Diceros bicornis minor: one gene and its partner. The protein of the gene in region 1 purifies or fractionates together with the protein of each later gene. This does not show direct contact. Links are inferred from orthologs where the notes say so. Each region holds a gene or a part of one and is shown on either strand. Other genes may lie near its edges.

The links.
Region 2: the proteins of MINK1 (region 1) and CNOT9 purify together in Homo sapiens (affinity purification with mass spectrometry; 3 studies listed by BioGRID and IntAct, with this or other methods). This does not show direct contact. The link is inferred for Diceros bicornis minor from reciprocal best matches to the Homo sapiens genes MINK1 and CNOT9.

The regions. Positions count from the first base shown.
Region 1 is NC_080757.1:11,609,230-11,616,597, reverse strand, and holds the start of MINK1 (misshapen-like kinase 1), read right to left. Parts: upstream 3,097-7,368; 5' UTR 2,860-3,096; coding exon 2,803-2,859; intron 1-2,802. UniProt on the Homo sapiens protein: Serine/threonine kinase which acts as a negative regulator of Ras-related Rap2-mediated signal transduction to control neuronal structure and AMPA receptor trafficking.
Region 2 is NC_080776.1:8,937,537-8,944,992, forward strand, and holds the start of CNOT9 (CCR4-NOT transcription complex subunit 9), read left to right. Parts: upstream 1-4,440; 5' UTR 4,441-4,782; coding exon 4,783-4,806; intron 4,807-7,456. UniProt on the Homo sapiens protein: Component of the CCR4-NOT complex which is one of the major cellular mRNA deadenylases and is linked to various cellular processes including bulk mRNA degradation, miRNA-mediated repression, translational repression during translational initiation and general transcription regulation.

The sequences.
Region 1 (7,368 bases):
AAGGGCTAGCATATGGTCACCATGTGCCAGGTCCTGGACTAAGTACTGAACATGCAGTATCTCATTTAATCCTCAGCACCTCTGAGTTCAGTACTATCACCATCCTCGCTGATACACATGAGAAAACGGAGCCTCAGAGAGGCGAGGCCCTTTGCAGAATCCGCAGCAAGTAAAGAAAGCAGCGGGGGCAAGGCCAAGGTTACACAATAAGTGAGAAAGCCAGACTTGACCTCAGGAATATAAGCCCATGATGCTGTGCTGATGGAGAAATGGAGCCTCAAAGAGGTCAAGTGTGCCTGTGATCACAAAGTGGCAGGTCGACCCGGCCTCCCCACACACGGCTAAGAGACGAGTGCAATTCAATCTTCCCTAATATCAGACTATTACTCTCATCACCAGCTGAAAACCAAGCCTCATCTTGAAACAAGAGGAGAAAGACAACTTGGGCTCTTCAAGGGCAGTCAATAAATGCTGAATACGTTCCTGTCCCCTCCCCCCAGGCCCCCAACACAAGTCGACGGAGTAAAGGGAAACAGGCTTTGCTGCTAATCCTCCAGGTTACCATTTCTCACTGGAACACAGACAGGAACAGAACAAGAGATGACTGAGCTAGCGGCTCCACAGTGCCACAGCAGCTCTCTGAGGTGGAGCGGAGGGGACAGGCACTGAGAAAAGGTCAGCAGGAAGGAGAAAGCAGGCCCTCTCTAGCCCCATTTCAAAGCTCTCCCTCAAGCCCTGGAGTACTGCGGTAATGGGGGATGAGGAATGCTGTCTTAAGAAGCATGAGGCAGGAAAAACAGAAGACCGGGAGCAGGTAGGTCAGCTGGCTCTCTTGAGGGAGGGAGAGGAGAATAAGGCAGGATGCTTGAGGAAGAACACTAACATTGCTTCAGGCAGAGAAGTCCGGAAGGGGAATACCACATCTAAGGTCAGAGGGTGTCTGCAGAATTGCTGGAAATCCTAGGTTGAGGGTCCAGGCCAAACTACCAGAAGAGGCTAAAGGGAAAGAAAGCCCAAGCAGAGTCCCACAAGGTTTAAACCAAAGGTCATGGTTTGGACCCACCCGTTTTTTATTGTATGTCAGTCACCACAGCCACAGGAACCTGTAGCCAGAGTTAATCAACAACCAAGGTGGGAAGGGAAGGTGGGGTTCATCCTAGACAGGAGCACATTAAGGGGAGCCTGGATTTCCATCTTATATCCAACTGGCTTAACTTGAGAAATGTAGTTTATACTGACCTTAAGAATCTTCCTCCCAAAGCCTTCAGACCCTCTCCTCACCAACACACACACACACACACACACACACACTGAGCGAGAGACACAGAGGGAGAGAGAGAGAGAAATTCACCGCTCAGTTTCCCTCCTCAGTAACTTATCACCTTATCTCCAGCAAGTCAGGTCTCCTAGCCCAACACTGCACCAAACAAACTATGACCTGAATGCCAAGAAAAACTGTGTCACCTAGAGAAACCCAATTAACGACATGACTCTGCTCTCTTCAATTCCCCTCCAGTCATATCCGGGGCACCTGAGTGACTGACCGCCTTTTCCCACTACTGGCCATGTTCTCTGTCTAACTCAAAAGCCAGAAGACAATTTAAACAGGGGCCTCCAGAGAAGCTAACCTAGAGATGGGAAATCCTGCTCTCCCCACACCTTGGCCTGTTGAGAAAGCCGGAAGGACATAGGACAAAAACACCACCTGGGTGATTGGAGTGTTCACCTTGAAATCTCTAAGATGCCCCTCAGCCAGAGCTCCTTGCTGAAGAAAAACACATAAATGCTGCTGAAAGCTCCCAAACGGGGGCGTGCAAGTGCCCCAGGGGGGACAATAAAAAGGTGTTTCAAAGAAATTCCTGCTGCGATTGTTTCCTTCTATCCCTTTTCTAATTAACCCCTCTCTTGAGAGATCTCCATTACCTCCCCCTCCCTCCAGCAAACATACAAAATACTCACTGCTTTTCCCAACCTCCTGATGGACTAAATGCAGCGTGCGTTTTGTGTATGTGCATGCGTATAAACATCCTCTTCCCAGCCCAGGCTAGTTTCCGAAGAGAATCCATGCTTCCCCTCCTCCCCCAGTGCACTTGTCTTTCCTCCCAGCCCCACACTGCTGCAGAGTTGGTAATGCAATATTCAGGGACCCTGAGACCGGAAATGCCTGGTTCTGGACTGCTGCACTTGAAACACGAGAAAAGGGATGGGGTGAGCAGAACATGGGGGTGAGGGCGACAGTAGGAGGTGTGGGGTAGAGAGGGGAGGCTGAAATTCCGACCAGGCAAGAGAAGCAATTCAGGGGTGGGCGAGGAGAAAGGGTGATGAGGGGAAGGCTGTCAAGATAGCTGAAAAGTCAAAATTCGAGGAACCGAGACAGAGGAGGGCGAGGAAGACGATATAACTAAGGGCAAGGGTGGAAAGAGGCCCAAGAGGAGGTGAGGGGCACCACAATAAAGATTCTGCAGGTGATGGGGGCCTAAGTTTAGGGGAACCAGGGATGATCCTCAAACACCTTGGAGGAAGCGGGTCCGGAACCTGAGTAAAGGTGGAGGTGGCCGGGAAGTGTGGGGGCGGGGCACCACAGGGTGGGGACCGAACTGGCTCCCAGAATCTGCAGCGAGTGGAGGGGGGGAGCAGGGGCGGGGGCCCAGCAGCCGTGGGCGCCCGGGAAAGGGGCGGGGGTTGCCGAGGGGGACGGGGCTGACGGAAGGGGCGCCCGGGGAGCACGTGAGGCGTGCGGCCACCCCGCTCCCCTGCGGCGGGGACTGGAACCAGGGCGAGGCTGGGGGGCTGCGCGCTCACCCGCAGGGCGGACAGGTCGATGTCGTCCAGGCTGCGGGCGGGGGCTGGGTCGCCCATGGCCTCCGCGGGGAACGGGGCCCCGGGGCCGCTCACGCTCCGGCTGGGTTATTCCGCTGCCGCCGTCGCCGCTTCTCCCCCATCGGGGTATCCCGGGGGCGGACTCCACCGTGCCTCCCCCGGAGAACGGGGAGGGGGAGGGCCGGGGAGAGGACCGACCCACAGACTGACAGGCGCTCTTGCCCCGGAGCCTGCAACCCGAGCTCCCGACTGTCCTGCGCAGGCGCGGAGTGGCCGTGCACCGGGAGGGTGGAAGAAGGAACGTGACGCGAGCGCGCCGGGTTCCCCCTCCCCCTCGGCGCCGACACCTGCGCGCAGGCGCAAGAGAGAGCGCGAAAGGCGCGCGCGAACGAGCCTGGCGTGAAAGAAGTGGGCGGCGGCCGAGGTGGCCGCGGAGCGCGCCCACCAGCTGGCGCGCGTGCGCACACGCGTTTCCTTCCCGTCGCCTATTTTTTGCCCTCTCTCTCCCCCATTTCCTTCTTAGCTCTCTTTTGACGCCTTCCTTCCCTTTCCCTCCTCTTTCGTCTGCCCAGCTGCCAATCAAGCCACCCACCTCTCTATTTGCGGGGGAAGGGGGCGGGACCCAACCCCCTCTATTGCTAGGGGGGTTGTTATGGTAACTCCCCACGCGAGGGCTGGGTGGCCTCTAGATAGGATGGGCTGTCCACCCACCTAATTGCCATGGCAACAGTGGAGCCACTGAGGGAGGGGCCTCTCCGTGAGAACTTGGCTGTAGAAACCACTTGGGATTTGGGGAGTGGAGAGGGGGGACTGGCTGCCTCAGGAATGCCCTTTACCCCCTTCTCTGGCTGGAGTGGGGAGTGTTGAGGAGGGCCTCTCAGATCTCAGGATAGGAAATCCTCCCGCAGACTTGTATCTGTGCACCTCTTGTTCTGCACAAAGGAACTGTTTCAACAATTATTCATTGACTGATCACGAGCTGCGCGTGGGGAAAGGGGTGGCAGGGAGAGGCGGAGGGGAAGAGGAGGAATCTATGTCCAACCCCTTCAAATCTTGCTTGGGTCACCTTAGGTCTAGTCATGTTGGCATAGCACCCCCAGCCACTAGCCTCACTAGAGGTTGAGTAATGCTATGTAAAGAACAAGGAGTCATGTTCTACCACTGACATGCTGTGTGACCTTGAGCAAGTTGCTTTGCTTCTCTGGGCTTTTCTTTCACTGTGAGGTTGAGAGAGAAGGCTGTTTGATCCCTGAGATCACTTTCAGCAACAGTACTATCTCTGAAAGACCCCACCACCAGCCTTAAAGGTCACTTAGGAGAGTTTGAATGAGATGTCTGGACCCTTCTCCTTAGCACTTTCACATGCACATCCAGTTTTGCTTCCCTCCCTTCCTATTTATCTTGCCATTGACCTTATCCAAGCCACAGTCCCCACTCACCTCCATTCCTCTTATCAGCCTCCTGCTTGGTCTCCCTGCCCGGCTCTCTTAAATCAATTCGCCATTCCCAGAGTGATTTTTCTAAAACTCAAATCTGATGTCACTCTCCTGTTTAAGACCCTTCACTGACTTCCCACTGTCTTTTGAGTAGAGTCTCAAGTGTGGCATCAAAGACCTTCAAGATTCTGCCTGCTTCTCCTGCCTTGTTTTTCAGTACTCCACCATTCAACCTCACATGTTCTAGCCATGCTGAAATCCTCTCCTCACAGTGCCCAGAACTCAACAGATCCTCCTCCAGCCTATGCACTTGCTGTTTCTTTTCCTTGGAATATTCTGACCATGCCCACTCTCACTGCCCTTTGCTTTGTACTACATGTCTAAATCATCTCCTCCATGAAGTCTTCCTTGACCCAATCTTCCTTGACTAAGATTGAGTTTGCCTCTTCTGTTTTAGCTGCCTGGCTTAAACCCATGGTAACATTTAACACTTGAATTGTAATGTCTGTCGCATCTCCTTAAAGGCAGGAATTATGTCACTCTTATTCAGCACAGGGCCTAGAACCCACTAGAGGTTCAGTAACACCTAAGTGAATGAAGGCCTCTGTTGTCTGAGTAGGCAGTGTGACATATAGTAATTCAAGGTCAAGACCATGGTATAATAGGAAGAAAACATAGAATTTGAAGTTAGTGCTTTGGGCAAGTCATTAATCTCTCTGAGGCTCAATTTTATCATCTGTAAAACAGAAATAATAACAGGGAGGTTAGGGTAAAATAAAATTAGGTATGTAAAGCACTTGGCATATCCTAGGTCTTCAATAAATTTACTAATGCCTGACTCATAGGCAGTGTTTAATAAAGAGATATTGAATTAATGAATAAGCAAATTAAGATCACAGGGTTAGGATAAATGACCACCCAAACCTCAAGAGGCAGTGTAATTTGGGGGGTGGGGAGGGTAGAGAAACAAGATTGGCTTCATGCTAGTAATTATTCAAGCTGGAGTACCGATGCATGGATACATGAGGGTTCATTATCCTATTCTATTTTTATATACAGTAGTCCCCTCTTACCTGCGGGGGATACATTCCAAGACCCCCAGTGGATGCCTGAAACCACAGATAGTACTGAACCCTATATATACTATGTTTTTTCCTAAACATACATACCTATAATAAAGTTTAATTTATAAATTAGGCACAGTAAGAGATGAACAATAACTAATAATAAAAGAGAACAACTATAACAATATACTGTAGTAAAAGTTATGTGTAGTCTCTCTCTCTTTCAGTCCAAACCTATTCCTGAATCTGTAACCATGCCTCACTTGCAGTGAATGGCTTGATGTCACTCATTTCAAGGGATCCCATGCTAAAATCTTCGTGTAGGCCCAGTGCTTTCTAGTGCAACATGTTGCCATCAATAGGAACACGTTTTCTGTTCGTGTCTTCCACCCACAAATGTAATGCCTTTTCCAACTTAACTAAGCACTTATCATGCACTGTGGCCATAATTTTTGCAGTTTGAGCAAAACTAGCATGAATTTCTTTTTCTTTCTCACAATTTCACAGATAAAAGATTCGTTCTTACTGTAGCATACCATCAGAAACCTCAGCATGTGATTTTTTTTTTCTTATTGAGTCGAGAACTTTTACCTTTTCCCTTAAAGGAAGCAGTTTATGGCTTCTCTTTGCCATATCCCAGTTGCCAGCATCACTATTCTTGTGCTTTGGGGCCATTATTAAGTAAAATAAGGGCTACTTGAACACAGACACTGATACCATGACAGCCGATCTGATAACTGAGATGGCTACTAAGTGACTAATGGGTGGGTAGCGTGTACAGCGTGGATGTGCTGGACAAAGGGCTGATTCACGTCCAGGGCTGGACAGAGTGTGACAGTGTGAGATTTCATCATGCTACTCAGAACGGTGTGCAATTTAAAACTTATGAATTATTTCTGGAATATTCCATTTAATATATTTTTTGTGTGTGTGAGGAAGATTGGCCCTGAGCTAACATCCATGCCCATCTTCCTCCATTTTGTATATGGGATGCCTCCACAGCATGGTTTGATGAGCTGTGCATAGATCTGTGGCGGGATCCAAACCTGCAAACCCCGGGCCGCCAAAGCGGAGAGCAAACTCAACCACTACACCACCGGGCCGGCCTCCTCCATTTAATATTTTTGGGCTGCAGTTGACTGTGGGTAACTGAAACCACGGAAAGTGAAACCACGGATAAAGGGGGACTACTGTAAATATGAAATTGTCCATAATAAAAACTTAAAGAGAGATAATATGGTGGAGAAAGTCCTGGATCAAGCATCAAGAAAAGTTAAAATATTAAAAATAAGACAAATTTGAGGACCCCTAGGGGATGAATGCACATTTTGCACAGGCCCAGTCGCCCTCACCCACCTTAGCAGGCTGGATTCACTTTCTTCATCCTGGGTCTTGAGCTAACTCTTCTGATTCCAAGCCCATGGCTTTTCCCCCTGCACTATGGTGGCCTCCATTCAAGAAACTCCAGGACTAATGAGGGGGGGGTGGGGGCAGACAGACTAACAGACAGCGTGAAGCAGAAACCCACTCTGCCCCTAGCCCAGCCTGGGGCAGCTGCTGCCTCCACTCCACTCCTTGCTTAATGAGGTAACGGTCCCCTAGGGAAAGAGGCACGTAGTGCTGACGAGGAGGCTAATTAGCAGAATGCCAATTAGTACCAGGGGACTGCTATATGTGGGAGGGGGGATCTCTTGTGTGAAAGTGGCTTCTTCAGAGGAGCAGAGGGCTGGATTCAAAGGAGAGGATCAGGGCAAGACACCAGCATCCCCTCTCCACGTCATCATCCGCTACACACCCCTCTTACAGGAAGGCTTCCTAAACTCCTCACTCTACTCCCCTGTTTCTTCCTGCTCCTGTGGTCAATTCTGAGACCGGAGAGGGAGGCTGGGGGGATGAAGGGCAAGAGCCAGGACCTGTGCTAAACTTTTTTCTAATTGCAAAATATTTCAGATCTACAAAAAGATACGAATATATATATGTTCATATACCCACCGCTCAGCTTAAGAAATACGTCACCAGTTCACTTGAAGAGCTCTGTCTACCCCTCT
Region 2 (7,456 bases), on another chromosome or scaffold:
CCTGCTACATTTTGAAACTAAGAAGGCAGTGAAAAAGAGTATATCCTTTGTTGACTTTATAAACATTGTTATATAATGATGTCTCAAATCTTAAAATACCACTACTATGATGTGCTGGTACAAATTTCAAAAGGTGGGTAAACTTCATTTTTACTTTTCTTTTAAAACTAATTTTATGGGTTTGTTTCTCAAATTTAGGCCTCTCTAAGCCTCAACTTTCCCTGAAGTTTGACCCAAACATCTCTCACTGCCTTCTTCAATGCTATAACATCAACTTTACATTTATTTGTTCACTCAGTAAAAAATCATTTACTGAGCTACTCCAATTTGATGGCACTGTGATAGGGACAAATGCAAAGATGATACAGTCCATGCCCTCATTAAGAGACTCCCCAGACTTCCTTGGATTTGTCGTTCCACAGTCATTCAGGCAAAAATCTTAGCATCAGCTTTAATTTCATTCTCATTTATCTAAAACCCAATCTTTTCATGGCTACTACCCTAATTCAGAAACTCTTCACTTTGTCATCACTCCCATCTAATATTTATTACACAACATTTACTAAGCACAGTACTAAGGGCCATACATGCATTATCTCATTTAATTTTCAAAATAATCCTAAAGGACAGGATAATAGGATAATCCATTTTACAGACGAAGAAACTGAGGCTTATAGAGATTAAGTAATTTACCCATGGTTACAGAGTCAGTAAGAGACAAAATTAAGTCTAACACTAGAGCCCATGTTTTTAAACACTACCATATTGCATCCTCATCAATGATTTGCAGTAATCACTTTCCAGTCTCCATTCTCTCAGGATTTTTCCATCCAATGAATCCTTTGCCCTACAATATCCTTTCTAAAGAACTTTATCTCTTACTAACTAAAGTATGCACTACTTGTCTCCTTAGCTTTCTCCCTAGAGTGGAAGGGTGGGGGGGCTGTCTTATCTTCTTTTGTACTCCAACAAAATAACAGGCACTTAGTAAGTGCTAAATATTTGCCAATGATGCTAACTCTCTCCCAAACATTTTTAAGATTTTTAATTTATTGTGGTAAGAATACTTAACATGAGATCCACTCTCTTAACAAACTTTTAAGTGTACAATACAGTACTGTTAACTATAGGTACAATGTTACACAGCTTATCTCTAGAACTTATTCATCTTGCTTAACAGAAACTTTCTCCCAAACATTTTTAACAGCTCATTGCTACCTATAAAATAAATCCAAACAACTATGTTTGGCATTCATACACCTATTTTTTATTTTCTATTTCTCAACACAAATCCTGTTCTACACACAAATTATTAAATTTTAACATTTTCTTCCACATCCACCACCAACAACTTACTTAAATATGGAATTTTTCTTTATTTTTGGAAATCTTATCCTGACTGGTCTCACAGTTTAACCTGTTGTTAAAATATATAAACCACTGCTCTGATTCCTAAGGGCTTTCTTTCCTAACAAGATCCATAAAACAAGTGCGCAAAGAGATTAAATTAGTGTTGTGGCTGAGAGTAAAGAAGAAGTTGACCTAGATAAAGTTTATCTCCAATTCAAAGAGTCTAAAATATGAATGATTTTATGATATAAGAATGGGTAAAATCATCCAGAGCTGGAAAACTGTTTTTTTTCTTTTGCATCCTTGAATTTGTCTGCAGGGTGAAAAGGTGTGTGTCATGGGATGACAAGATTATCAGTAAGCTGGTGCTTCCAAAAGACATGATGGTTCTCACAGCAAGTGCCAGTTTACTTATTCATTTGACAAATTCTTGAGAAATAGAAATGAAATAGTTACATATTATATATTGGAGAAAGACTTTAAATAATCACACAAGTAAATATATAATTACAAGTTCTGAAAAATGACATAAAGTTCAGGGCATGATGAAAGATTATAACAGGGTAGAGGGGGTAGAGGTTAGAGAGCATCAAGAGAAGGCTTCTCTGAGGAAGTATCACTTAAGCTGAAAATTAAAGAATGAGTTAATTGGGGGATGGCTGTGCTGGAACAATCTAGGCAAACAGAACAGCATGTGCAAAGGCCCTGTGATGGAAAATAACTCGGTGTGACAAAGGAAACTAAAAGCAGTGAGGCTGGAGTTTAGTGAGGAAGAGGAGGATGGTGCAAGATGAAGCTAGTGAAGCAGGAAAGAATCAAGTTACACAGAATCTTCTAGACCATAGTAAGGATTCTGAATTTTACCCTAGATGTAATAAATACCTAGTGATAGGAAATCCAATGAAAGGTTTTAAGCAGAGAAATGACATGTTACTGCTGAATGGAGAAGTGATGTGGTTTGTTTGGGTTTGGGGAAGAGAGTGAAAAGAGTAAGAATGGAAGAAAACAGGGCAACCAGAGAGGAGAGTATTGACCTGACTCAGCCTATAACAACAATTACAATTACAATTACTGCTTACTGGCTATTTACTGTGTGCCATGTGCTTACCATGGCTATCTCATTTAATCCTCATAACAATGCAATAAGGTGATTATTATTCCCATTTTACAGATGAGAATACAGGGAACCAGTGACATCAAGTCCAGGTAAAACAGGATTGTGGCTTGAACTAGAAAGGTAATACTGAAGATGCACAGAAATAGATCCAAGACATATATCGGAAATAGAATAAACAGAACTTGAAGAAGGTATGGATACATGGGATGAGGGAGAAGTCACGAATGGTTTCCAAGTTTCTAGCCTATGTAAGTGGATAAATGGACAAACTGGGATACTGGAGGAGAAAGAATTTGGGTATGGAAAGATTAAGACTTTGGTTTTACACTTGTTATATTTGAAATTCCTAAGAAAAAATCAAGTTGAGATGTCAAGCAGACAGGTGGGTATTTTGATCTTGAGCTGAAAACAAAAGGAACAAGCTGGAAATAAAAATTCTTAAGTCATCAATATACAGATGGAATTTAAAGCTTAGGGTGGAAGGGAAGAGTAAAAGGAGAACAGGGCCTCGGACAGAAGCTAGATAGTCCTTTTTTCCCCATCAAACGTCTCTTGCTATGGTCATCGGTTACTTGGATGTCATCGGGCTTTTCAGTCCCCTTCAACTTTACCTTTCAGCAGAATTCAACACTATTGATGACTTCTTTTGTCTCTTTCACCCCTCTACCCAGTTATTAACTGCCAAGAATCCCTCAGTGCTCCATCCATCCTAGGTCCCCTTCTTTTTTAGAACTATACTCTTTTTAGGCAATTTCATCCACATCCACAGCTTCAACTACTATCAACACAGCGATAAGATGTATACATTTATCTATCTATCCAACCCAGAACTCTGCTGAGCTCAGACCCAGTACATCCAACCGCCTACTTGACATCGTCTTAGATATCTCTTCCAGTTAGAGACCTGTCAGATACTGCCACCCCAAAAAAGGCGTTTACACAAAGCCCAAATTTTGAAAGGATGACCACAAAACCACTACAGGCCAACTTTCCAGAACAGGATTTTGTCATCAGTTATCGTTTCCTTTCGTGGACCGTGACCTAAAATAGGTAAACCTGACAACCTGATGGCTAGAGATGGGGAGCAACCAAAGGCAGGACAAAAAACACCCTTCGTGCCTTTTAGCGAGAGATGGTTAGGTGAGGAAAGAAGGGAAAGAACGGTCAAGAGAGTGAAAGAGTATCACGTCCAAGGCCTGATGGACGTGCGGCAACGGAAGTCACCTGAAGACACAGCAGGCCTCGCTAAGGGGCGAGTGGCGGACGACGACAGCCCCCCGCGAGCAGGCGCCGGGTTCGGTTTGCGGAGGGAGCGAGGGACAGCAGAGACCAGGTCCAAGGAGAGAGAAATCCCGGGGGAAGACCCAAGCGGAGTACCTGTGAGGCCAGGGGAGCGTCGAGGGGCTGGGGGCGGGCTGAGCGGCACCGGGCGAACTCTGGAGGAGTGAACGCCGAGTGGGCGGACCGCACGGGGCGGGGGGGGTCTTGGGGAAAACGGCTCAGTTGAGAAGCTCGCCGGGCCCGCCTTACCTGTGCCTGCGAGTCCGGAGCCCCGGACAGGCCCGCCGGAAGCACGGAGTCCGCGCGGAGGGGGAGGAGCCCGGGGTAACGAAGGAATGGACACCGGGCACCAAGGAGTGGGGCCGCTCGCTCCCTCCCAGTCAGGGAGAGCGGCTGATGGCGGGAACTGTGACCACACGCAAACACGCACGCACGCACGCACGCACACTCGACGCGACCACACGGGGCGCGTGCGCGCAAGCCTGCAAACTCCGCCCCTCCCACGCCCTCGCCCCGCCCCAGCACCTAGCGTAGTCTCGCCGAGGCAGCCCCGCCCCTGCCCTGATGTAGTACGCATGCGCACTTTCCACTTCGCTGCCTTGGGGCCTCCCACCGTTTCCCTCATGCTCAGCCCAGTCGGGCATGCGCACTACTTGCCCTCCTGGGACTGCCTGGCTTTTCCCGCCCTTCACTGGCCTCCGGAGGAGGGTCAGAGTTCACGTCCCTCTCTTGGGATACCAGCTCGAAGCTGGGGGATGCGAGGACTAGTGGGTGGCGGACGTCCTTCCGGTCCTGAATCTTAAGGGGCAAAGGACACACGCTGGGACTATTAACTCAGCCGAGAGCTAGGAGGCGGGAAGAGGTTGTGTGGGCGGGGTCAAGGGTGAAAGGTCAGAGGGCTGCGAAGGGGGCGGAGCGAGCCGGAGGCGGATGGCGGCTGCGGCGGCTCATCGTCTTTGGCGGCAGAGGCGCTGAAGCGGGGACGCGGGTCGGGCGCGTCCGGCAGTGGGAGGAGAGCGGCGGCCGCTCCCAACATGCACAGCCTGGCGACGGCTGCGGTGAGTGGCCGGGCCGCCCGGCCTCGGCCCAGAACCCCTCCTCGGCCCTGCTTTCCGGCCTTCTCTCCTCGCTCCCTGCGTCGGGCTCGGAGTCGGGCTCCTCCTGCCCTCCTTGCGCGAGGCCCCGGCCCCTCGTTGCCGCGCTGGGCTGCGTGGGACCCGGCCCCCACGTTCCTCACCGGCCGGCGCTCGCGGCCTCTGGCGCCGCGTATCGCCTTCTCTCCCGGCCCGGGGCCTGGTCCGGCGCCCGGAGCGCCTTTTCGCGGCCCGGACAGGCCATTCATTGATTCACTACGCTGACCGACAGTTTCGGCCTGCCGGTTTCGTGCTGGGCGTGGGCAGGGATGAGGGGAATGCCGTGGTCCCTCTGCCACGGCCGCGCTCGGGACGCACTGCCTAGGCGCATCGCAGCGGGAAAGAAATGGCTACTAGCTCAGACCGCTTGCGTTATAGATGGAAAAGCTGAGACCCGGAGAAGTGAATAATTATTACGTCTGACTTATGGTTCTACTGCGCTTACAACCTTTTTTCACACGTCTCATTTTACCAGCGCGATCTTTTATCAAGAAAAACGGATCGTGTAACTCACCTGTTTAAAGTCATCTTATGGCTTCTCTTTGCATGTAGATAAAATCCAGACTCCTTGCCATGGCCTACAAGGCGCTGCTTGTAGGATGTGGTCCTTACCCATGTTTAGTCTCATGTCATTTGCTCCGTAGGCTCTGGCTACAGGGACCGCCGTGCCATCCCTTCTGCCTGCACTTTTGCATTCCAGGGTGCACTTTCTGATCTCTATTTCTGGAATGCTCTTCTTACTCTCCCCGCCCCCCCCTTACTTACTTACACACAGACACACACAGCATGTGGATGTAACTGGCTCCTCTTCCCTCAAGTCTCAGCCTAAAAATCTCCCTAGAGTGGCCTTCCTCGACCACCCTATTTAAAGTAGTTTTGTAACCCCCAGCTTTTCTCTGTTAGAGTACTGTTTACAGCATTGATCCCAGTTTGTAATTTTTGTATTCTTTTATCTGTCTGTTGTCTGTCTCCCTCTTGATCCACGGGGATCATGTGGGTCCTGTTTATATGGTTACCCCAGTGCCAGGACAGTTCCTGGCACAAAGGAGGGGCTCAAATACTTTGCTGAATGAAGGGGTATAGATGAGGGAGGTCACTCCTGAGAGCACATAGCTGTAATGGGAAAACACGATCATATGATTTGAGGATACTCTTCTGAATGCTCATCCTAATTTTTCTGTTTTACTAAGGTGATGTGACTTAAGGAGAGAGTAGTATACTGAAATTGCATTACCAGGGAAAAGGACATACTAAATAGAAGACCAAAAAATTGCCTTAACTTTAAATATATAAAGTGAAAAAGAGAGCTGAGCATGACTAGGTTATAGAAAGCATTGTCATTTCCCAGGCCTGTGGCATCTCTGTGTCCTATCACCATGTTTCTAAGTGTTTGTAACTCTTCAAAGTGGAGAGGTACTTTTTATATCTCTCAATTAGGTAATTGCAATTTCCCCAGCTTTTTTATTTCTTCTAAGTAATACATGTAATTTGAGAAGAAGCAAGTCAGAAGATATGGTTGCTGCTCCTAGGGGAGTGGCAGGTTAAACAAAGGATTCTTCTAAGGTTGGCTTGTCCATCTTTCAAAATCTGATTGTCTTCTCCAGACTTTGATATCAAGCTGCTCCTTTCCCTCTGCCTCCGCAATCTCTCTACCTAGTCAATTCCCTTTATTTTCAATTGCTCCCTAATGCATCTTTGGAACAGCCGTTAAAGCTGTGGTTCATTACTTATAAGAAGTACTGGATACATGTTTTCTTCAATTAAATTTACAATGCTTTACATTTATTTAAAGTTTGAGCTTTTAGATATGCTGTTTGGACCACACAGAAACTCTGACAAGTTGCTTTGCACCACTTATTTACTAGAATATCTGGTTAGTGAGGAGACTGAAGCATAGAGAAGTTGAGCGACCTCTTTCCCAATCCTTCACGCCTTCCATTAGACGAAACTGTCTGTGTTATTCTGATCTGGGTAAAGGAACTGTAATGGTGTATATCACTCACAAGAAATTGAGAAGAGTTAATAATACATGCAGCAGTGCCTGCAATAATCTAAGCCACTTGAGAAAATGCTCACTTTCTGCCTAATGATGAAAATTTTTGTTTGTGTATACCTTTATCTCTTTTTAAGAATAACATCACTTCAGCTAGGGAGATAGTCTATCAAAGGACAACGTGATCACATGTGAATGCAGGATGTATTCACTAGAGGGAGGAAGTTTCTTAAATTTTGACTCCTGAGTAGTAGTTTATTACGCTAGAAATGTATAATATAGTAGACTCTTGTCATTCTTTACAGAATACATCCTAACATCATCATTGTTGCCACCATAGAATATAATTTCGTTCTCACATCTATTAAATAGGGACAGAGACACCACACAGGATTATTCTAAAAATTAAATAAGAATAACAAAGTGCTCAGTGGTTGGCTAGGTTCACTCATTGGTTAAATGACTTGCTCCCAGACTTCAGCCGTGGGATGCTAACTCCTGCCTCAGCAAAATAACAAATCACTTTGTTGTGGACCTTGGAGGTTGCTTCAGATTAACAGAGCTGCAAATCTTCACGTACCG